3 linked regions of the Drosophila melanogaster genome follow. The protein of the gene in region 1 interacts with the protein of each later gene in a pairwise test. Each region holds a gene or a part of one and is shown in the gene's direction. Other genes may lie near its edges.

What was found.
Region 2: the proteins of kuk (region 1) and CG8929 interact in a two-hybrid assay, tested with the Drosophila melanogaster proteins (one large-scale study listed by BioGRID).
Region 3: the proteins of kuk (region 1) and Mtmr6 interact in a two-hybrid assay, tested with the Drosophila melanogaster proteins (one large-scale study listed by BioGRID).

The regions. Positions count from the first base shown.
Region 1 is NT_033777.3:17,077,584-17,085,826, forward strand, and holds kuk (kugelkern), read left to right. Parts: upstream 1-2,660; 5' UTR 2,661-2,773; intron 2,774-4,362; exon of another isoform or gene 4,363-4,444; intron 4,445-4,804; exon of another isoform or gene 4,805-4,924; intron 4,925-5,080; 5' UTR 5,081-5,113; coding exon 5,114-6,826; 3' UTR 6,827-7,198; downstream 7,199-8,243. Other genes in the region: Keap1, read right to left, coding at 235-322; GckIII (germinal centre kinase III), read left to right, coding at 8,215-8,243.
Region 2 is NT_033778.4:20,324,366-20,331,612, forward strand, and holds CG8929 (uncharacterized protein), read left to right. Parts: upstream 1-2,904; 5' UTR 2,905-3,028; exon of another isoform or gene 3,029-3,501; 5' UTR 3,502-3,693; coding exon 3,694-3,769; intron 3,770-3,961; coding exon 3,962-4,656; intron 4,657-4,740; coding exon 4,741-4,832; intron 4,833-4,898; coding exon 4,899-5,265; intron 5,266-5,343; coding exon 5,344-5,799; intron 5,800-5,859; coding exon 5,860-5,997; 3' UTR 5,998-6,356; downstream 6,357-7,247. Other genes in the region: tapas, read left to right, coding at 1-46, 483-756, 814-965, 1,024-1,172, 1,231-1,448; MED8 (mediator complex subunit 8), read right to left, coding at 1,599-2,357.
Region 3 is NT_033778.4:23,388,345-23,397,772, reverse strand, and holds Mtmr6 (myotubularin related protein 6), read left to right. Parts: upstream 1-2,351; 5' UTR 2,352-2,616; coding exon 2,617-2,856; intron 2,857-4,292; coding exon 4,293-4,409; exon of another isoform or gene 4,410-4,792; intron 4,793-5,869; coding exon 5,870-6,032; intron 6,033-6,099; coding exon 6,100-6,383; intron 6,384-6,446; coding exon 6,447-6,581; intron 6,582-6,648; coding exon 6,649-6,878; intron 6,879-6,955; coding exon 6,956-7,468; intron 7,469-7,524; coding exon 7,525-7,767; intron 7,768-7,831; coding exon 7,832-8,054; intron 8,055-8,114; coding exon 8,115-8,252; 3' UTR 8,253-8,764; downstream 8,765-9,428. Other genes in the region: CG3520 (uncharacterized protein), read left to right, coding at 1-628, 684-833; eIF2Bdelta (eukaryotic translation initiation factor 2B subunit delta), read right to left, coding at 8,801-9,428.

The DNA.
Region 1 (8,243 bases):
TAATTTTTATCATCTCACATTCAACTACAAGTGACTTCACTGTAGCACAATCTGGAATCGTTTTCGCCAATCATTGTGGGCTGTTTCAGAGAACTTGATTCGCAATGCGCACCGTCATGATCAGTGGTTTCTTTTTTTTTTACCAAAAGCACGCGTAGCGAAAATATCTGGCAAACTTGTTGCGAATTGAACTGTAGACCCAAGGTCAAATCCAGAACTTTAAAAAAAACCAACCTTCTGGGCGGCAGGGGTATCCCTTGTGGTTGGGCATGTCGGAGATGTGGGTCTCATATTGCATGGGCGAGTGCATTTGGGTTTGCATTTTGGCACTAATCTCGGATCGATAGGGATCCTTCACAGCTTCGTTAGTTCGGTAGAGATAGTTTCAATAATCAATAGTTTCGCAAACAAAGACTGAAAGTCCGTGTGAAAATGAAAGCGCGCGATCAGCTGCTTCTCCGCAAATCCGCTCCGGCGATCATGCGTGTGCCGTGGAGAGAGCCCGTCAACTGACTGCCGTGGTCTGCGTCTGCCCAGCCACAGAGCCCACCGAGACTTATCTCTCGCGGGGATGGTGGCGGAGTGGGGGGAGCGTTTCAAAGAGCGTTATCATGCTTACATATGTGTGTGTGTGCACACATGTGCCTGAGTTCTATGTGGCCCTTCCAGGTGAATACACTCCGTGTTGTGGCGATAAAAACTATATAATGCCATGAATGAAACGCACGGCCCGTGGGCGGTTTTTTGGACCGTAACGATGATGCTCACAAATCGTAACCGATGGCAAACATAATTGTTTACCATGTTTACCAGCAACAGGTTTTTGTATGGAGCCTCAGGCTACACAGCGTTTGCAAAAAAATTACGCGTGTCATGCAAGCAGTTAGGAATTTCGTTTTGTTCAAAAGATAGCTAAAATGTGTTCAAAGTCCGTGCCAAATGAACTATTGAATACAATCAAAACAAAAAGCTAAGCTAATTTCGTATGCGCATATCGTGGAATATGTTTAAAAGAGATTACGTCTCTCTATTTTTTATTGCATAGTATTTTAGTCATGATCGGAGTTCTGTCTTAAGGGAATTTCACAACATAAATGGCCATATACACAATATTGTACGGTATATCCGATTAATCATTGTTACCAAGCTCAATTGAAAAGGCAATAAATTTTGAAGTATCAAGTCATGTTCCCAAAACAATTTCAATTTATGAACGCCTTATACACATGACGATAGAAATATTAATATCACTGATACACACTTAAAAAAATTTTTCGCATTAAATGAAGTAACTACAATAATGAAATATTTTTTTTTTTCATTTAATAATATTAAGACACAAAACCCTTTCAAAGATTATCCTTTAATTTTATTATTTATTCTAGAGAAATGTTTACAAAACGTTTAAAATTTATCGTATGTTTTTCTTATCTGAATCACCAAATTAAAACCACTACATATGTACTACACAAATATTTTTGTTTAATCAGATAAGGGCAAAAGGGACTTCCCCCGCCAAAAATCCCATATAAGTATTATGGCGAATCAAACGTACTTTGGAAAATCCACGCCCTTTAATAACATTAGTTCATCAAAGTGCGGCTTTAAATTTCCGCATAAAGTGACGCTGAGTTGGTTGTTGGTAAATGAATGATAAAGGCAAAAACTGGACGAAATAGTGCCGAATCATGCTGAAGAGGCAAAACCTTACACACTGTCACAGTGGTACGTCGGTGTAGGTGAAAACAGCAGCGTAATCAGCACGGATGTTGGGGATGTGTGTTTGTGTGTTTGCAGGTACCGTTGAACTTTGCTTTCACATAAACAAATATTACTCACTTACATTGCTCTCCCTGGGGCGACAGCTGTCACCCTTGCACACACGTACGTACTGTACATACTATTTACATACATACACACACCCGCACTTCCAACGCCATGTGCCAAACAGCTGATAAAGGCCATTGAAACTGAACTCGAAAGAAGGCCACTTAAAACAAACCACTTTGTTGTAAGAGATTACCGCAATGCAGGACAAACATTTACACTTTATCACCAGGGATTTCAAGATCTCACAGATACTTCATATATTTATGTATATAACCACGTAAATCGGCTGGGAAAATACACCGTTAATTTCTCCCTTTGTTTCATTGAGGTTTTCACATGCAGATAAATGTACGATCGTAGACAAATAAAAGGTTTCCCAGCTGGAAACTAAACTATGCGAGGGTCATGCACTTTTTATGCCTTTTTTGCACTTTGTATGTTTTATTTACTGCTACTCACATCTGTATTTATTTATTTTGCCACTACACAACGATTTTTTCTACTCTTCTTCTTAAGGTAAACATGCAAGTGCTGGAAAACGCTCGACACTGAAAGCATGTAATGACAGGAGTTGCCAGATGTCCAACCAGCTGGTGGATATTTATAAAATAAATGGTATACATGATATTAAACCACATTTACAAACAATTTTAATTATTACAACTTTAAAGTTGGTTGTACTGTTTCACTATTCTGATAATTTTTTTTTTTTTTTTTTTACATATAGATGTAGAAATTCCAAGACGTGAACCATCGTGACTTATCGAAAGCAAAACGATGATCGGCAGCACGTGGTATTTCTCCGCGTGGTAGCTAAGGTCCCACTAGCGCGTTGGTTATAATTTGTTTGTATCGGCGTCGGTTGAATTGAAATCAGTTAATTTGTCGCAAAGTAATTTCTGTATAAGTATTAGCTGTGCTGCTAGAACTAGAACGCTACAAGGTGGGTGTGCTTATGTTTATATTGATTTACAAAAAGCTAAAATACTGCTGGTTTCGATGGGCACTGTCTGCGCATCCTTTTTGTTGCGGTAGGATAGTATAGCATACATACATAAATTTGTGCGCGTACAAAGGAATAATTCAAATGTTCAAAATGTGCGCAAAATATGAAGCAGCAGGCGTTAGAAACATCAGTTTTATTGCCCTGCAAAAGGGCTTTATTGCACCCCTCGCCCAAGAGCTCACATTTTTTTTCCTTTCTCCAAACAAATTATCGCCAATTGCGGCTGTCGCGCCGCCATTTTAAAAAACGAACGCGGTATCAGCCTCCTACAATTGCATGGTACAGTGGTGGCAAAGCATAGTGGACCAGGTCAAAAAACCTGGGATGTCGAAATATCAAACTATAGTTTATTTTTGTTTTCAATTATAAGTAGCTTGGAGAAGCATATCTAAATATATAGTACATACAATATTATCTACTGCAGCGTTACATCCTTGAATATCGTTTTCTGTATACAAATAAATAAGAGATTCAATAACACAATGGTAGCTATCTAAATATGTCTATCAAAATAGTAATGTTTGATTCAGATTTCTCTAGTCAAATATTTATTGCTTTTGTACTGTATGCAATATTTTGGCGCGCACTGTATGCCGCCTTTTCTTGCCCACTCACAGACAGTTTGTCGCTGCACATGTGTGGGTTTCTGATTTTTTTGTACTCTTCCTTTTGTTTGTTTTTTTTTGCCGATCCGATCGCAGCTTGTTCAAATTGATTAACTAGACTTGGAGCAGAACCGCCATTAACCACTCGACCATATAAAGAGGCATTTATGCTCGAGTTTAATCAACTCCGCGAAGCAAATATCAAAACAAACGACGAAAGGGCACTGCAATAACAGTGATAATTCCGCATAAAAGAGGGCTTGGCTATAAATACATGTGTGCCACACACTCACACACTCGCATCTGCATGGCAAACCTCGCAAAAACATTCATTCTCTTCATTTCTCATTTTTGCAGTCTTTCGCTGCAATTGTGTGCATTATTTTTTATGTATTTTGCGCAGCATCGTTCGTTGTCCGCAATTTTTCAGCATTCGCATTTCCACTTTCTAAAAACAAAATAAAAAGAAACCCGGTCAATGCAATTTCCTTCTAAGCGAATTCCCCGTTCCCTCCTTGCCCTACGTTTCTCTTAAATAAATGCACCTGGGTGCAACTAGTTTTGATACCCTCACAACAAGTATTGAGGTATACTGATCACAAAGGTATATTGAAACAAAAAAAATTTAAAGATACATATTTATATGACATTTTTATATGTTTCTCGCGCATTATTTGTTTGTATCCAATTTATTATTTATTAGATAACGTTTATTAGTCTTAAATTAGTAGTCAATATTTCTACTCAACAAAACCCACAAAAGTCTATAATCACAAAAAATCAGTCAAATGCCATTTAAATAATTGGTTAGAGTATGTAGCAATCCGGATAAAGTAAAATTGAACTTTCGCATTTATCTGGCATCGAGCTGTCTGGGAAAATTCCATCTCTTGGCATTCTAGACGAATTTCTTCACTTCAGCCGTTCTTACCCTTTCGTGTCATTTCACTTGCAAGGCGAGCGAAAACGGAAAACACACTGGGGCAACCAGCTTTGCGTGTTGGTCTGTATTTGTTAAGTTTGTGTCTCAGTTTGTTTTGAATGCATTTAATAGAACGGAAGCCAGTTAAAAATATGGGGGAAGTGAAAGCCACTCAAGCAGAAACAAACAAAAAAAAACATAGTCAGCGAGCAGAAAAACCGAAAATTCGAAGCAGAATTTTTTGAGCGAATTCGAAATTTAGAGGTAGAAATTAGCATATGGTTGACCGTTTATTCCCGGCAATTAACACATCCTAATCTCTGCACATATGTCCGTCATAAATGGCAGCTGCATCGGCAGGTAGATTGTCCATACTTCACGTACCTGCAATGAATAAGATTCCCCGTCTAGCTACTTAAACCGGGTCAGGATGAAGATACCTTAGAGTTAAGCTTCAGACTTGAATGTGTGCGGACGTGCTAGAAAATCAGAAATAAAACGCTTAGCGTAGAAAATATCAAAAACTGTGATTACATTCCCATACTGAACAGCAAATCTGTGGTAATTGGGTGGGGGTATTGATTTCATAGCCGGTTCTCGCAAGGAATGTGGTGTAAACAAACCGCAAATCAATTCGTGTTTACTTTTTTGTTTTCGTTTTCACAGCCCTCTGAAATCAACGAATAAAATATTCTCTTTGTTTGTGCTCCCTTGCAGAGATCGTGCAACGCATCGAAGGAAACCCAATCAATGTTAAGCAAAATGGCTAGCAACACAAGCGGCGGGGGAGGTACCACTTCAGGCACTGGAACGGGACGTCGTCTGCCACTCTCGCTGAGCGGCGGTTCCACCGTCACGCGCTTGCAGCAATCTTCTGGCAGCAACGGCCGCTCAAATAGCCCCCAAAATGGGAACAAAAAGATCACAGAGTCATTTTTGCCGGTAAAAAAGAGCAACCAACCGCGGACCACTTCGACTGGATCCACCGGATCCAGCCAGAACGGCGTAAGCAAGCCCACAAATGGCAAAGATAAGTCACAGAATGGCAGCTCAACAGGCAAAGACCAGAAGGTAGAGAAATCTAAAGATAAGTTGCCGGAAAAGAAGGCAAAGGAAGTGGGTGCCGAGAATAAGGATAAGGATGGCGCTGCCGAGATGACAGATATGGAGGTTGTGGTCGAAAATAAGCAAAAGGAGGTGGTATCCGAAAATAAGCAAAATGAGGTGGTATCTGAAAATAAGGAAGTGGTATCTGAAAATAAGGAGGTGGTATCCGAAAATAAGGAGGTGGCTTCCGAAAAAAAGGTGGTGGTAGCTGAAGTTCCCTCCGACAAAGACGACAACGGAGAGACCAAAAAAGATGATGCTACCGTTGAGAGTACTGCTCCTGCTTCTCAAACGCCTGCGGATGCTGCGGTAATCATCGATGAAGTAGTGTTTATTCCCGATCTCAGCACTCCTACTAAGGATCGCAAGTCTACACGCAAGTCGGGTAGCCAGCAAAAGTCACCCATCAGCAAGGCAAGCAACGCTTCGCCTGTCCAGAAGATAAAAACCGAAGCAGTTTCTTCATCGACATCGGGCTCTTTGACTCCACAAGAAGATGTCGATATGGAACCGCTACAAGTGGATGCCTCTCCCATACGCAGCGTCCACGGCAATTTGAATGCCGTGCCGACGGCTACATCCACGCCCGGACGCAGTCTCTTCAGTTTCCGTGGTAGCAACAAGCAAAGCACCGAGGTAGAGCTGGCTGCCCAGACTTCCAGCTCGCCGGCAGGAACTCCGGCTCGCACTTTCGCCCAGATCAGCGGCAGGCGTAGCATACGACCCATCGACTCACTGACGCCCTCGAAAATAGGCACCTACAGGTGCGGGAACAGCGATCTGGACACCTCGAACTGCACGAACGCAAGCATGAATGCCACAGTCGGATCAGAGATCCCCAACAGCTCGTCATTTTCATTTTCATTCTTTGGCCGTGGCCGCAAGCGTGAACGCACTCCCCCACCACTGACGGCCTCTCAGTCGACCAGTGACCTGGGCCACGACGTGGATATGTCGCCGCCAAAGCGCGCCCGCTTCGACTTGTTCAGCCTGAATTTGGCTTCTCCCTTTAGCTTGCTGCGCTCGAGATTCTCCAAGGCAACAATCGGTACTCCGACCCGTCTGCGTCTGGAGCCGAACAGTTCCGGCGTGGAGGAGCAACATCTGAACACATCTACGACTGGCGTACCAGAAGAGGTTGATGTGGAGGAGGAACAACCGGCCGAAGACGTGACCGTTGGTCAGGAGGCCGGAGCGGAGGAAATCCCCGCCAAGAAGGATGTCGAGGATAAGAACGTCAATGGCCAGGATGGCGACAAGGAGTCCAGCGATGGAGAAAACATTGACCCTGTTGTAGAGGTGGCTGATGTTGCCGCGGTCGCTGCCGAGGGCCGATCCATCTGCTCAATTATGTAATACAACAGGCCAGACCACATAATACCCTTCCCTTAGTTGATAAGATTGTCTTAGCATATCTGTTTCACCCTCTTTGGTAATTTATGTTCTGACGTAAAGTAACATGTTAAGAGAAAGTTTTATAGCTAGGACTCGTCGGGTCGTTTTTCGTCAGGAAAATCACCGTTCTGTCACAGATTCCTTGCTGGTTGTCTCCTCGCGAACTCCCGGGTCGCAGACAACCACCGACGAATCTGACGATCTGTACCCAGGCAAAAGTGGGTACCAACCGTAGAAAACCCATACTTGTAGTAATCTGTTTAAGAAATTTTTATATAAAACACATATTTGTGAAAGTCTTTTCGCCGAGTTCATGTATTGTTTCGCTATATCAAAAGAAAAAAAGAAAAATGTAACACATTTCATAAATAAAGTACATTAAAACGAAATATCTGAATTTTTGGTGTATGCATGGGTATTGAAGGCACTGCGATTTTCTTTTTCAGATATAAGTAACTTATGTGTTTTATGTATTAAAATAACCCATCAATTGCGATATTAAGCTTAAAGAAAATTATTTTGAATGATGTGAAATTGAATCCTTAGTGATGGCGAAAAAATCATTTTAGTTGCATCGTTTGGAAACCAGTTGTTTTTATTTATACTCGATAACTACATCCATTTACAATAAACTAAAAATGAGGGACTCGATGTAAATTCATTCTGCAACATTAAGTTTTTAGCGGGTATCGATGCAACGCTTTCCAATATTCAATATTATGTGGCAACGCTGCCAAATGGGTTTTGTAATTACAGAAGTGGGTAAAGAAATAAAATAGTTAACATCTAATATTTATATATTGTAAGCTTTGACACAAGTCGAATAGGAAAATAAATGAATAAGTTAATCTTATTTAAGCTTTTCGGAACTGCTAACGAGTTAAATAATCTTAGGGAAATTAATAACTATTATATTAGTGAAAGAATAAGAATTGCTCTGCCAGAGTTAAGAAAATACATACGAATCGTGAAATAAATATTATTACAATTAAAATAAAAAATTAATTTTAATATTTATTTTTCGGCTGGCGGCTCTAATCAACAGCTGGAAAGATATCGATATCGACAGGAGAATATCGATATTCAATCGGTATTCGATACTGCTGCGATACAGCAAAAAAAAGAGAGATTTCTCGGATTAGATGAGATACCAACGAAAAAATTATTAGTCAAGTGCCCCCGCAGAGTAGTTCAGCCACCAAATAGCCCGCAGAACAGTTCAGTCCAGTTGGGTCCAACACAAGCCAGTCGAGAGCCAGCGGAGTAACAAGGAAACCCGTGAATCCAGAAGGAGGTGGAGGAGGAGAGCCAGAAGCCACGAAGTGGGAAGTAGAAACCAGATAGGAAACATGTCCTGGACGGAGAAAGTCGATCCAGA
Region 2 (7,247 bases), on another chromosome or scaffold:
ATATGTGCGTGAACATTGGCCTTCGCCTGGAGCTCGAGATGGCTAGGTAAGTGCCTTTATTGAAGCTTTTGTACAATGTCTATTCATTCTATATCATTATGGTCAATGTCATCTAATCACATCGTCATCAAGCTCCCTAAACAACGACATCTGAATTGTGACTGGTGCCCTATAAGTTTATATTAACAATATAATTGATCCTTTGCTTAATGCTATCTCTATAAGTGCTTCAATAAACCGGAACTGACTTGATATGTTATTGCTAACACAAATTCGATCTACGTTTTGTAAGCTTACCCTAAAATCATGCACATCTTTGTATATAATCTGAAAAATATACTCTTAAGCTGCCACACATATGTACTTTACTACCCAATAAGCCCGAAAGCAATCAGATTTTTTAAACCTTGAAACCAACAATTGCCTCCCAATCCCCCAATCTGGCTTGTTCCCGCCCCACCCTTGATTCCCCACCCACACAGCTCCATTCATCCGGAGAAGTATGATCATACGCTCCTGAGCTCCAATGTCCAGCTGCCCAGACGCGGTAGCTTCAGCTCCGTGTTCTCGAATCAGAGCAGCAGCAGCGACCTTGTCGCTACCACTCCCCCGGTGACGCCAGAGAAGAAACCATCCGCAAGATCGACCGGCAGCACCTTTTCGTCTCTCATGCTCAAGGATTACGAGGCTATTCCGGCAGTGGGTGCCTATTTCGAGGTGCGCGTTGCCCTCTCCGTCAATCCCGGTCACTTTGCGGTAAGTCAATCATCAGCAAATTAATGACTCCGATTATGATGTGCGATTCTTCCGCAGGTGCAACCGTACAAATACTATAACCAGCTGCAGACTTTGATGAAGAATTTACAAGAGCATTGCCAAAAGACGGCAGCCAAGGGAGTGCAGCCTTCACAACTGGCCATTGGAGAGGCCTACGCTGCCCCTGACTCCGAAGGCGTATATCATCGGTAAGAACTTATTCAGGTCTTGCAATAAAAACGCAGACTAAATCTGTTAATCTTGCAGCGTAAGTATTCACAAGATTTACGATGAGATTATACACGTGCGTTTCGTCGACGTGGGCGACGATGGAGTAATTGCCTGTGATCAACTGAAAACTCTAAATCCGGAGTTAAGAAAGCTGCCCAAGATGGCATTGCCAGCACAACTTTATGGCAAGTTCAAGAGAACTTCAGCAGTTTGGCGTTAGAACTAAAAACGATCTTCTTTCAGGCATACAACTGACTGATGTAGTATGGAGCAAGGAGAACTGCGTCCGATTCCGGGAACTGTCGCTGGGTCAGAAGTTTATTGGCATTGTGCGGCGAATGACTAAACAAAAGGATGGCGGACGAGCGCTGTGCCTGGAGCTGGTGGACACCTCCACGCCGAAAGATATTAAGCTGCACGAGATTCTCATCAATGAGAAGCACGCACAGCCAGCAACATAAGAAGTCTGAGTCGGAGGAGACGATCCATTTAAATTTGTTCATGTTTATGTTTGCGTAATCCTAGTTTTAGAATTAGGAATATACATATAACTTATTACGACGAAACATTCCGCCAGATGGAACCGATAATAGCTAATAAACTGATGTTTTTTATCGAGAGAACGGATGCACTTGATTTGCGGACTTGATGTTTGTTTTCACAGCCGATGGCGCCTTTCCCAGCTGCTGCTGCACGTTGCCGGGACTCATAGCGGGTCCACCCATTGGCGAGGGTGCTCGAATTGAAGGCGGTACCATCATGCCAGGTCCGGGTCCATAGTTGGTCAGCTTGAGTCCTTTTCCCATACCCACGGCGGCCACCAGGAGCTGTGTGTCGGCCATGCTACTCGTCTGCTGGATGCCGGTGCGCGAAGAGCTCTCGATTTCCCACTCCTCGCGCGCTTTGCTGACCATATCCAGGACGTGGGAGACGACCTTGTTGTATTGAGTGACCTGTTTCATGGCAGCGTCGTTGGTGAGGTTCGCCGCCTTCTGTTCGTTCTGCAGCATTTTCTGTTCCGTAATCGGATCCGGCCGAGTTCTCAAATAGTCTGGAACAATGTCGTGTGAAAAGACTGGCACCCGACCCTCTGTGATGTTGATGAGGGTGTCATCCCGGTCCATGGAGACCAGAAGGGGCAGGACCGTTCGATTTCTTAGCGGCGGACACTGCTCCTTTGCCAAGATTTTCGTCAATCCCGTCAAGTGACTTGAGATAATGGCAAAGTTGTCCAGGAAAGTCGGCCAGTTGATGGTCTCGTACTCTAGCTCAAGTTTTTGGATCATCGAGAGAACCGCCAGCTTCAGGTCGTTCAGACGCTGAAGGACCGTATCCAGCGTCAGCTCAAAAAGCTTTTCGTCGCGCTGCATTTTGGAAACTCCCAATTAAACTATTATTTTTAACTTCAGTCGGATGGACACAAAGTGGAAAGTGTGACCGTGGATCTGCTTATTATCATTTGTTAGTCGGGTGTAATAAAATACTGCAACACCGTACTATCGATAACGTTTGCGATAGCAGCAAACTGGCGTCCACACTACATTCAGATCCTAAAATTAAAATCATATGGTCAATTAAGGAAACTGAACAATAAAAAATGAATTAATGCTCACCAATAACTAATAATTGATCGTTATTATTTGTTTCTGTTTTAATTTAAATAGAACTAATAACTTTTATTTTTGCAATAATTAGCAGAATCGTTAATGCATACTTAAAATAATGTCAAAACAATATGATATGATTTAAATAGTCTAATATATAAAACATTCCCAAAACGAATAGTGTTTTCAACTACGAGCGCCTCTTGAAATAACACAATATTTATTATTAAAATATATAAACTGACTCGAGTTCATCAGACTCTGAACAGTCCTTAGACTATTGAAGCCAAGCCATCGATTGTGCCCCGGCATATCGATACTACCAACATGGCCGTCGAGAAAAATTGAAGTGAACGCAACGCCGTGTTTTTCATTTGCCAATAAAACGTTAACAGCTCACGAAATATCGTAAAGCGTGCCCGCAAACGTCGCCAAATGTAAGCAAATTATTTTAGTGCCTGTTTTACATCGTTTACATAATTGCCAGAGCTGAAATTCGAAATTTAGTTGCTGCCGTCGGGAGTATCGCCAACTTTTGCCTCACACTCTCTCTCTGTCTCGCTCTGCATTCCTCTCGTGCTGACAAGGCAAATATATTGGTGCTGGTGTGAGTGTATGTGTGAAAAATGGAAGAAATTCAAAATGCATATGTGAAAAGATATACGCGCAAGCCGATTAAAAATCGGCTCTCTCGCACGATTTTGATTGGGACCACAGGTCCCCGACCCCCGCGGCGTGATATGGGTTAAATGACAGCCGGAGCGCGTCCGCGATTCTCTCTGCGTTTTCAGGTCTCTCCGCTCTATTCCCATTCTGTATAACTCCGCTCCTGATATTGTTGTTGCTTTGTGTTAGCCATTTCTAATGCTCTCTTTACATGTTTCTATATTCAATTGTAATATATTTGCAGCTTGTTGTGTATGTTTTTGAAATGGTAAAGTGTGTTGTCGCGTTCGCCAAACCGAATCCGAAACAGTAAACCAAACCCTAACCGATTGGGGGTAATAAACATTGAAACCCGAGTACATACATACATATATCTGTCGCGCGATATATATACATATACATAGTTGCCAAAGCGATAGAAATCCGAAATCTCGCGATGGCGTCGCGCAGGCGCGCCGAACTGAATCCAAAACTGCACATGGACAGGCAGCCGACAGCTGCCCGCATAACAGGTACCTGAACTGAAACTTCTACCAACTACCAGCAAGCAACTGCATAGAAGTGGGAAAACCCAATTACCTCGCCGGGATTAGCGATGTCTAAGGGCCCATAAACCCATCAGCCCGTCTTAGGGGCTTCCCGGAACAAAGCACCGCCCACCACCCTGCCAATCGAAGCTTACCTTTTACCTCTCAACCTTGCAGATCCCTCATTACCCGCTGGAAAGCGACGCGAGATCGACAACGTGATGAAGAAGGCGCGCGCCAACACCACCAACGATTATTGGGACAAGAAGCTGATCGAGGCAGAGGAGAAGGATCCAAACCGATGGCGCCACACGGGCTACAAGAAGATGTACATCCAGGGGGAGAGCAGCTCTGGAGAGAGCGAACGCGACGGTCGCGAAGGTCGTGAGGGTGGAGCACCGCCCTACGGTCGTTATCCGCCCACAGGTGGACCGCCGCCAGGTCCACCGCCTCCGTCGCAGCGTTACGGACGCTCTCGTTCGCCGCACTCACGCAGTCGGTCGCGTTTGCGCAAATCGCCACCGCTTTCACCACCTCCGCGTCGTCGTTCACCGCCCATGGCTATGCACAGTGGCATGGATCGCCGTGGTGGACCTCGCTCGCCGCCAATGCCACGATCGCCCAACAATAGCCACGATGCCCTCATGCGTCGACCCGGAAACGGCCACGGCGGAAGGCCCCGATCACCGCCGGAACCCAGTGGTGGCTCGTCGTCCTCGTCGTTGCGACGCAAGCCAAACGCGTCGCGTTCTCCGCTCGGACGTCGCCGGTCTCCACCGCTTCCTCCGCCCTCGTCGTCGGCAATGGAGAAGCGAGGTCCAGTCGCCCATATCCTGCCGCGCTCCAAGCGACCGCCATCGCCACCACCGAGGGTGAGTTTTCAACCAGATAGTGATACATATTATTCTGTCAGTGAGAACCATACCATTTATACATATATCCGTGTCCCTTTGCAGCACTCGATGCGTTCGCGATCAAACAGCTCTATGAGCACCAGCTCCGATGATTCCTGCTCCCTCTGCTCACCCAGTCATCGTCACAGATCTCGGTAAGTATTGATATATGAAATGTGTTTTCTTTGTTCCTATTAAACTTTTTTTTTTCCATCTTAAAGATCCCGCGGTCCGCGCTCGCCGCCACCCAAGCCACGTGGCCATTATCGTTCGGGGGCGCCTCCGCCCCCTCCGTCGGAATCACATGGCCGTATCCATGGTCGCCCCACCACTCCACCGCCCGTGCGCGGAGGTGGAGGCAGTTCGGTTTCCGCCATGGAGAAGTATCGCCAGGCGAAGATGCGTCACATCGGGCATGAACGTGTCGCCTCGTCGGACACCCACATGAAGATCGCGCGGTCCTCGCGCCATTCGCCTCCGCCGGAAGATCCGCGTCTTAAGCACCGCCCGCCAGAGCCACCAGAGCCGGCGTCAGCGCCAGCTGCAGCACCTACAACACAGGCAAAAAAGAAGAAGAAGGAAAAGGAGGTAAGCATTGTCCGAAGCTAAGAGTCAAAATAAATTTGAAACCAAATATAACAATCCATATATATTATTTTCCATCAGGTGAGGCCACGCATTAAAATTGAAGGTGAGAAACGCAAAAAACATCCGAGCGGGACGTCCAGTGGCACCGGAGCTAACGCGGCAAACTCCTCCTCGGACTCGGACGATTCGAACGGCTCGGACAGCGACGAGGTCGGCACGTTGCCCACATTCTCGGCTACTACGCGGCTGACGCTCTCGGATCGATTCGGCAAAATGGCGCAGTGGAGCATCGATCGCAGCAACATGGAGAACATGCGCATCACCAAAGACTCCGCCGGTGGGGCCCTCAAAGTAATGATTGAGGAGGGCCTGGAGTCGCCGCCGCGTCGCTATTCGTATTCGCCGGCACCGGCCGGGCACTTTCCGGAGGAGTTAGCCACCACAGCACCGTCGGGAATGCTGTCGTGGGACGATGTGCGCGTCCGTTACGAGTACTACAAGAGTCGTGGTTACCTAAGAGACTTGGACCTGAAGGTAAGTGACGATTTTATCCGCAGTCCAGTACAAATGGTAACATTTATCTATATCTTTTAGGACTATATCAAGTGGGAGGAGTGGTGGTATAAATATCAGGAATGGTTGAAACAGGAACGCTACTATGAGTACTGGGATCGCAGTCAGCAATTGCGAAGACGGCGCAAAAAGCTGCCGGTAACTCAGCGCTTGAATTGAGTGCCCCTATCATTTGAATCATTTCATTAATTCTTTTAATTCCCAACTTCCAATTCAGCTCATTTACTTGACCTACTATTTCCTTCCTTCTCGTTGTATCTTAATCATTTCCTCATCCCAACTTCCCCCGTTTGTACATTTAAAATGTATGAAACTGCACTTGTCAACTTATATTTTGATAATCAATATAATTAAAAGCCAAGCACCCGGAGATGTTTGGCTCTTGGCCTCTGACATCCTGTTGTTGGTGTAGTGGGGCTTTCATTAACACTGAACTTTGTAAGTTTTTTTTCGAGTGCATGTTGTTCAGTACAACACACCCATATACTTGTAAACGCATTAAACAACAGTCGGTACATAAATTTTGTCTTTTACTGGGCCTGGTTTGATTTGACATCTCTATTTCCACGACATTACATACATTTGACGGGATTTTACAAATGTAACTTACGCTCGTAAGTAGAAAGCGATGAAACGCCATCTGTGGACATTTTCCGAAAGTTGCCTAGAGCTTTTCAAGGTCAAATACATTTTTGAATAAATAAGCTGCCAGAAGATGTCTGACGACATTGCGAATATCGTCGGAAATGAGGAAAAAGTGGGCGCAAGTGCCTCCCAACTGAATGTCAATACTGTGATGTGCACGCAGCGTTTATTTGACGGCATATAAATTGAAAAATTCACATAAAAATGTGTAATTATTTGGCATATTTTCAATTTGCACAAAGGCGATAAGGGAAACAGTCAGCTGGAGGTGACACGCACATGGAGGGCATCGGGAAAATCCCTGATATCCATCCCAGTTCCTGGGCGTGATTTCCGTGCACAAATTAGCACTTTTTCACTTGCTTTTTCCGGGGGTTGGCGGCTGATAATCAGATTATGCCCGGTGCACAGGGGATGCTAATGTGTCGATATCGAGCTTCTGCCAAGCTAATTGCGGTTGAGTGGGGCATCGTTTGGGATGGGGGGGACAAAGGCTCCACGGAGTAGCCATTGAAGCGGACTTTAATCCATCTTGAACTCTAAGGGCGGTTCCCCTTCAACCCATCACTTCGGCCCAATCGCCTGAACCACGACCCTGGGCACTGCTCCTCCTCCGTGTCCGGGCACAATTAAGCTCTAAATAACAACAGCGTTAAGATGGCTTTAAGGCCCGATTTGGCCCCCGGCCACCAGAAAACCCTTCAGTAGAACTCGAGGAAAAGTCACGTCTAATTACACACATCTTGAAGCAGCTTTTTGACCTG
Region 3 (9,428 bases), on another chromosome or scaffold:
CAAGTACATCTTCACCGGCAATTGCGACATACCAGAGGTGCTGGATGTTTTCACCCTGATTGTTGAGCGTTACATGGACTCGATGAATCTGGACTCAAGGCTCTTCGAACGCTACACGGAAGTGGTGGCCACACTGCATCCGAATGCAATTGATGGTCTAACGACGCCAGCCAATTGGTGGGAGACGCCGGTGGGCAAGCTGAAAAAGGCGACCATCATTCGGTGCTACTTGGTTTTGTACAACGAGAAGCTTCCAAATCCTCTCAAGTGGCTTACGCCCATAATAGATGCCTACGAGAAACGAGCGGAGGAGCGGCCTTTCTTCTACCGCCACTTGGCAGCCACTCTGTACGCTTTCGAGAGCGATGAGCACTCCAGCAACTGGATAGCGGAGATGTTCTTGGAGATCCAAATGCTCTTGGCCGAGGCCTCCAACAAGGAGAAGGTGAACAGGGCGCTCTACCTGCTGGACATCTTCATCCTAGCCGTGGATGTGCTCTCGGGCTGTGCCGTGCTGTTGGGCAGCGTCGATGTGGTGGCCACGGACGACAAGCAGCGCCTGGCACTGTTCCCGGAGAGCTTGCAGTACCTGTGCGATCACGTCTTTTGGAAGGATCAGGAGGCTAAGGTTTGAAACACTCTGGTTACAATTACCTGCAAAATACCAATGAGAATCCTTGCAGATATACGAGTTCCTCTTCAATCTTTATAAGCACACGACCATGCCCGCTTCCTATGCCGATGTCTTCAGGGAGGCCATCATCTGTTCCCGTAACAAGCCCTATTTCGACAGCAAGGGCGTCTGGACGAAATACGTAGGATTGCGTAAATGAACACGACGACCACTCACCGCATTTACACCCTCTCCGCCCACGCCTGAAGTGCACTTGAATGGCTAGAACCAACCGCCTACCGTCAATGTTAGTCAATTTTTGATAGCCATCGCGTTCCTTGTTACTTGTATGTGTTTCAACTTTAACGTACATTAAATGCATTTTTGCGCACAACTTTTGAATTTGCCAAGGCTGCCAGACGGTCGCAAAGAGTGGCCGCCGATAGCCGTCGACGGCCGATAGCTTAGGGGGTGGATCCTATCGACTGGAGCACATCCCTAGTTCGTACAATCGCCTCGAAGAATTTATTATTATTCGGGAATAATTACAAAAAAAATGCAATAAAAAAGCAAACACGAGTGCAGTTCTACCAAATTAACGAGGCTCCCTTGCGTGAGCTTGTGAACCGCTGGGCGAATCAGTGCACAGTGACTTTGTGGCTCGTTTTCACGTGAGGCAACAGGAAAACCCAATCAAAACGTAAACAATGGACGAAATAAAGCTCGCCAAGGTTAGTTATCAGCTTAATCAATGCGATAGGGTGCAATGCAGCCAGGGTCATACCTCGGCGACCACCGTGGAGCACCTGGCTGGGCTGCCGCGAAGGCGCTGTGAGTCATCCATCGCGGGGGCTGGCCATTCGGAAATCGATGGTAAGGGTGCTCCACCTGCGCCCTTTCCGTGGGAAAACTACCGGCTACTCCGCCCACACAGGTGGGGTGCTCCGCCCCCGGAAAGGTGGAAGCACTCCCAGAAATCCACGTCCATTAATGCGGAACCAAAACATGCGCATAGAATGCAAAGTAAATAAGTTTCGAGCCGCGCTCTCTTCCCATCCCAAAATCACCCAGAATCCACCCACTCAGCCACAATTTTTAACCGTGAAAAGTCGTCCATCCAAATCAGTGGAAGGTTCTCTCAGCGTCCAAAATGGAAGGCTACATACATTTCTGCCCTTCGACGTGGCCTATTTAACTGGGTTCGTGTTGTGGCCGAAGTTGATGGGATTCCCGCATCTCCGAATTGGGTTACTTATCAATGCAAGTTTGGAAACTTATTTGCAGCTTAGATCTGCCCTTGAATGTAACGAAACTGAAATTACCTATCTTAAATTCTTACATAAATCATTAGAAACTCCTTGAAATATGAAATATTTGCATTCTAAGTTGGATAATAAATATTCTTTCAAATTCAAATACCTATTTTAAGTAATGTAAACTTAATAGAAGAAGTTATTAGTCAATTTAAAAAACTCGTATAGGTAATGCTGCTTTTCTCTAAAATGTTTTTGTAACTTAAATTAGAAGCAGTATCTTATTACATTATCATTTATATTTAATCATGCAGTTAAATATCTTGATTTTGTTTAGTAAGATCCCAATCCTTACAGGGTATTTCCATGTAACAAACTGCTCAATTTGTCTTCTCTTCGCAAGAGAGAGAGAGAATTTCCCTTGACAAATTTCCCCAACACAAAATCGTAGCTCGCTTTTAAGCGCGCGCATTCGTCGCAGGCAACTGAGTTCCATTCCATCGTTTGACGGAAGCACTTCGCGCTGCCCCAAGCAAACCACACACACTCATATCCGTGGGGTAAAATCGCACAAAAAGGCACAGCAAGTCGCCAGTGAATAGCGCGAGTTTCGCGCTCGTTAGGCAGGCGAAAAGTGAAAGTCCCAGGCCATTCCACCCATACAAACTTGGATTGATTCCATTTGAGTTGCCAGCACACGATTGCTGCTGCTGATTCAAAATCAATAAAGCGGCCCGCCAGTCTCCCGCAATGGACATCACCCGATTCATGAACAAGTTCAACGAGATCGAGCGCCAATTGTCCCCGACCTCCGCGCTGCGGCTGAGCTTCGACAACATCTCGCCGGAGACGGAGGAGCCGCCGGACGGCAATAAGAGGCTGTGGGGCGTGCCAGTGCCGCCCTTCGTCTCCGAAAAGGTGGTCTCCTGGATCGAGGAGGAGTTCAACGAGGCTCCGGTCTTCTACAACGGCAACAGTGTGCTCAAGAAGGTAAACCCGCCCAACAGACCAACATCCTGCTCCCCAGTTTCCCATGCAAATCATGGCGAGCAAATCGTGCTAATTTTCCCATCTCACCCATGGCCACCGGCTACTGGCCACTGGCCGGAAAATATGCAAATCAGCACACAGGCAGTATGTTCGGGGGCCTGCCAAAAGCTGACTTCCCCTTCTTCCCGAAACCCGTTTCCTATGTGGGTCATGTGTGGGAACGAGGAGCAGGTCTGCATCCGGGCGCCAAGTGCGTCACCACAATCACTCCTCGGGGCACCCACAAGTCTGACAGATTGTTGCATTGTCAGCGGGATACTCGGGTGCGGAGCTGGGTCAATTAATGGAATGGGTTTTCCATCAAAGTCGCAGATGCAACTGCCATCGGCTGGCAAATTGCACTCGTACATCAAGAGCAGGCCACCGGACTTGGCAATTGTCAAGGTTACCCATGTTGATTACCAATGGACAATGGCACCAACTCCCCATGTGCACTATACGCAGATTGAATTAATGCAGTTCGTTTGTCTTTATTTGTGTGTATCTGATAATTTCGAAATTCAAAATATAATTAAGTTTTATGGCTCAGTTCGTTTGATAATCGTGCATCAAGTATGCGCCATGTTGCCAACAAACTGATTGAGCTTCTGCATGTGCAACTTAACCATTATAAATCTAATCAAATACTCGTGCTATGCATTATGCTTATATATGCTACAGTTTCTGAATCTGAAAGCTTATGAAGGTTCATTTATACAAATGATTAGTTAGGCAAATTTGTTTATCTTAAATCCACGCTTTAATTTGCCTGCCCGCTGGGCGAGGGTAATGAACTCGCACTGGCTAAATCAGACAATTAACTAACCTTATCTATCTCGACAATGGACCCGGCTCAAACAAGGGCCTCAATCTAAGTGACATGAAAGGAAATTAGTCCGATGATGAACGGCTCTAGGGAAATGGAATATGTATAGACCTCCTGGGCAATAAAAGCCGGCGCAGATGGGGAAGCGGCGGCATGGGTTGGTTTGGGGAATCCGGCCTGCAGGACCATCAAAGGAATTAATGTGCCGCTGGTCGGCCGACGGTTTTGTTAAATGGATGCCAAACAACTAACCGCAAGGGGCACATATTGTGGTGCCTATATTTAGGTGGTGCTTTAAAGTTGACATATCCTCGGCTTTGATGAATCTTTGATGAAGTTTCCATTCACTTCAGCCGGGTATTCGCTGAAAGTTGATTGAAAAAGTTTGCTCCTTTCTTCGTACTCATGCAGTTTATTCTTTCTCGTATGCAATGTGTACGTACGAGTGGGTTTCCACAAAACTATATGGATTCCGCTGACGTCAGCCGGGGGCGCAGCTGAAATGAAATAGCGAATTTAAACCCAATTGTAATCATTTCCATTCTCTCTGTCTCTGTTTTTGTTTTTGCAGGTGGAAAATGTGCGGATGATAGATCGCTACAATACCAAAAATCCCACGGTTGGCACACTCTATCTAACGGCCACCCATCTGATATTCGTGGAGCCCGACAGCAACAAGGAGACCTGGGTAAGTGGCCCATAATGACATCATCAATACGCTAGCTCCCGACTAAAATTCGCGTCCCCTTTGCTAACAACTTTGTCGGCTGGAGTGGCAAATGTGGATTTGCGTTTGTGGGCCACGCAAAACGCTTATGTGAGTCACCACTGTGCTGGCAACTAAGTCCGCTGCCTGCGAACGTGCTCAAATGGGTTTCTTTTCGGTTTAGCACCGACCTCGCAGCTGTCAAAAAGTTTAGAGCCCCTCTGGCAGCCAGCCGACTGATGTCTTAGGTGCTCTGCACCTTTCCTTTCTCGAGAGGAGGAAGACAGCGGTTGAGTGGGGAAAAGTTTCCTTTAACGAGTTTGCAGCATGTTTCCTGCGCTTTAAGATTCTTATTTACCTAACAGGTAATTTAATTCGCCTCCTGCAATCGCAATCTGGCGCACACAAAAGAATGTTTGCACAAGCGTGTTGCGTATACGCCCCATTGCACACATACGAATTGAATTCGTTCAGCTTTTGTGTACGTTAATTGTGAGCATATTTCCTTGCTGCTTTGCTTTAAATTCACTGGGAATTGTTTGAAAAGCTGTTGCAGCTTAAGGCTCGTTCGTTGTGTTGGCGAATGCGATTTTCGCAGCGAAATTGAAAGGATATAGTGACAATAAGCGGCCTGGTGAATAGTCGCGAAAAAGCCCTGGCTTAGCGTTATATTGCACAATAAGTGCCCGACAAGCTCATATCCTTTGGACACACCGCCGGATTTGTTGCTCAAATCCCTGCACATGCGAGTGCCACTAAATGCGTTTAATTATTCCAACCGTGTAAGTTGCCCACTGCGTATACGTAACGAGGTTGCTGGCCGGAAGCAGGCAAGCATTGCATTTTAATTGCCTCGCCCAAATTGTATTAATTATGCACTCCCCGGAGCAAGTTGGCGCATTCGAGTGCCACAAGTGGCCCAGGAGCGTAAGTGTCGGGATTCCGGATGAGTCGCACTTGCGGGGGCCGCGCAAAGTGGTTAATTAAAAGTGAAAACACTTAGGATCAGAGCACGAGAGCCGCCGTGAGGGGGCGAAAAGAGCAGGCAACTATCGATTTTGTGCGCCATTGAAAACTGGTTGCTTAGTTCCTCATAATCCGGTTGCTTCTTCCCTCCCCTGTCTAGCTCCGCTTCTTTTTATTGCCCGCCACTGGGGCGCATCAATTATTTAGTGGCGAAAGCAGTTCTGTTCGGGCACGTAGCTCCCGTGTCCAAGGGGGGAGTGAAGTTTTGCTTTTGCCCGCGTTGCATAAGAGCAGCCTTGGGCGAAGTCACGGTCGCAAGCTGGCTTCTTGGATGTTTCGCTCACAAAGGGCAGCAAACCATAAGCAGCAATCATCCGAGTAGCTGGGGGAAATAAGCCAACGCAACCCATTCTCTGCAGATTTATTAACCACACCGGACGTTATATACTTGTATTTACGCTTTGCGCTCTCTTCAGATCCTGCACATGCACGTGGCCAGCATTGAGAAGCTTCCCTTGAGCACGACAGGATCTCCGCTACTCATCCGCTGCAAGACCTTCCTCTCCGTAACTTTCGTCATTCCCAAGGACTCCGAGTGCCACGATGTCTACACTTCGCTGCTGAAACTCTTCCAGCCGGGTAAGAATCCACCAAACACAACAATGCGGCCGCCATTCACAAGCCTACATTCCTATCCCGCGAACAGTGTCCATCAACAAATTGTACTGCTTCAACTACCAGCCGAACAAGGATGATTTCCCCAAGAACGCTGGCTGGGATTACTTTAAACTGGAGGCGGAGTTCAAGCACATGCTGGTGCCCAACGAGGCCTGGACGCTGTGCTCCATGAACGAGAAGTACGAGCTGTGCGACACCTATCCGCGTCAGATTTACGTGCCCAAGGAGGCCACCACGCTGATGCTCATCAGCAGCTCGCGATTCCGCTCCAAGGGGCGGCTGCCAGTGCTCACCTATCTGCACAACAACAAGGTTAGGCGAAGATATACATAACTCATATTATCAGCAAACTTACATAACTGGGAACCACTGCAGGCTTCCATCTGCCGCTGCAGTCAGCCCCTGTCCGGATTCAGTGCCCGCTGTCTGGAGGATGAGCAGATGCTGGAGGCCATACGCAAGACGAATTCCAACACGGACTACATGTATGTGGTGGACACGCGACCGCGGGTGAGTGTGACAGGGGAATCTCCCGAGGCGAGCATAAATGCAAATAATCCATTTACGCCATTTGCAGATTAATGCCATGGCAAACAGAGCCGCCGGCAAGGGATACGAGAACGAGGCCTTCTACGAGAACATCAAATTCCACTTCCTCGGCATTGAGAACATCCACGTCCAGCGTGCCAGTCTGCAAAAGGTGCTTGAGGCCTGCGAACAGAAGTCGCCCACGATGAGCGCCTTCATAAATGCCCTGGAGTCATCCGGCTGGCTGAAGCACATTCGCTCCATATTGGACACGTCGAGGTGAGCCAACAGACAGGAGAATCTCCCAATGGCATTGTGGACTGAGTTGTTAACATTCTGTGTGTGTCACCCTGCAGCTTCATCGCCAACGCCGTGGACAAGGGCGTCTCGGTGGTGGTCCACTGCTCCGACGGCTGGGACCGCACGGCCCAGGTCTGTTCACTGGCGCAGCTGATGCTGAACCCCTACTACCGAACCATCAAGGGCTTCCAGGCGCTAATCGAGAAGGACTGGCTGGCATTCGGGCACAAGTTCAGCGAGCGCTGCGGTCACATCCAGACGGATGCCCGCGAGGTGTCGCCGATCTTCACACAGTTCCTGGACTGTACCTGGCAGCTAATGTCGCAGCGCAGCGAGGCCTTCGAGTTCAACGAGCGGTTCCTGCTCATCCTGCACGACCATGTGCACTCATGTCAATTCGGCACCTTCGTGGGCAACTGCGAGAAGGATCGCTTGGACCTAAAGCTGGCCGAGCGCACCTTCTCGCTGTGGGGCTATATGGCCAATCACCTGAACGAGTATATCAACCCGCTGTACAAACCAAATGTAGACGAGGCCATTAAGGCCAACCTGGCACCGCAGTGCATCAAGTGAGGACTTTCTGGAATGAGCCAAATCCTATATAAACTATGCGCTTCTCACACAGGTTCTGGCGCGGCATGTACAGTCGCTTCGAGAGCGGCATTCATCCGCGGGAGCCACTGGGCGACGTGCTGCTCGATAGCAAGGAGCACTGCAACTCGCTGGAGGACCACGTGCAGCATCTGACCAAGCGCATAGCCAGCTTCAAGAACTACATTTCCAAGTCGGCCAAGAAACTGCAAGACGCCACCAGCGCCCCTGGCAAAGTGAACAAGGAGCTCTCCAGCAACGAGATCAATGACAACAAGTGCGTATGATAGATATTAGTTATTATGCTATAGTATGCTTTATAATCCATCCGCTTATTGCAGATACAACTACGATAAGAAGCTTAGCGAACTGTCTGCCGCCGACGACGATCATCCGCTGAAGGCCAGCAACATGTCCTTCGCCAGTCTGTCGCTGAGCGCGGAACAATCCAGTCCGCCGCAGGCGCTGCCCGAGGAGATCAACTCCGTGGCCGTAGACTGGAAGCCCATGCGCAACGTAACCACCTGCTCCTGCTCCACGCCCTTCGATCAGTTCAGCAAAAAGGTGGGTAACTCCGCGTACTTAAGCAAGCCTGCCACTGATGATGATCCAATCCTCGAATAGACTCACTGCTGGCGCTGCGGGGACATCTTCTGCGAGCGCTGCATAGACAAGAACGTGGCTCTGCCAGGACACGACAGTGGAAAGCCGGTGCCGGTGTGCCGGGGCTGCTTCCGGCAAATGCAAAAGCAAAGCCCGTAGAGGCAAGGCAGGCAGGATCGAGGAATGGAGCGGAGCTAGGGTGTGCAATCGATATGGAAACGCTATTAAATTTATTGTGTGTATTTATTGTTGCATTTGTAGACTTAGCTGCTTGTAGAAGCTCATTCAAGTTGTTGCAAATGGAAATCAAAAGAGCAAAACCAAATCAATCCACCAGCGATTGGCTTCCAGGCATCGTCCTAGTCTATAAGCCGGGCACAAAACTGTATTTTGTTATTAGAATCTAGAGCTACATATTTGCTAATCCCAGCCCCACCCGCACGGAAAGTACAATTGCATGTCAGAGCGCAGACTTGCTCTTGATCAAAATATTTATAATTTCCGAGGAACTCGGCGGTCTGCCGGATGTACAGACACTTGGGCCTAGCCCTCCTTCGCAGCAGCGGTCCCTGGCATCAAGCATATTCCACTAGCATACCCGTAAATTATGAACTACGCATCAATCTTGTTTGTCGATTTGATCAAAGTGTAATAAAACTTATTTATTCAACAACTGCGAGTTCTACTGAGCGATCGATGAAGTCTGATTAGTAGCCAATGTCTGGCTTGATGCGGAGTATGACGGGAACACTGGTGCAGGGCAGGATGGCCACCTCGGTGACCACGGCACTCACCAGCTCCGGCGGAGTAATGTCGTAGCTCAGGTTGAGCGGCAACAGCTTTCCCTTGGCCGCCCAGTTGCTTAGCTGGCACTTGTCGCCGCGCACCAGTTGGTTGGGATCGCTCAGCTCGTTGTAGACGATGGCGTCCGTCTGGAAGCGCTCGCTGAACTTGTGCGTCTCGCAGCACACGAGCACCGGCACGTTGTGGGCATTGGCCACCAGGGCCACCTGGGCGGTGCCCGTTCGCGCCATCACGTATCCGTTGGCCAGCAGGGCGTGTGCTCCCAGCAGCACCTTCGTGGCCTCCGCCATCACATAGCCCACGGCGTTGATCAGCACGTAGGTGCACGGGATTCCGGTGGCGTGCAGTCGGCGCAGCAGCTCCTGGCCTTCGCATCCGGGTCGCGAATCGACGACAATCACGCGGAAGGCCACCTGGCGCCGCTTGGCCTCCTCGCAGATGAACTGAATGAGGGAGGAACAGGCGAAGGTCAGCAGCACGTCGCCATCGGTGATCTTTTCCTGCAGAAAACCGCTGATCGCTTGGGCCGCC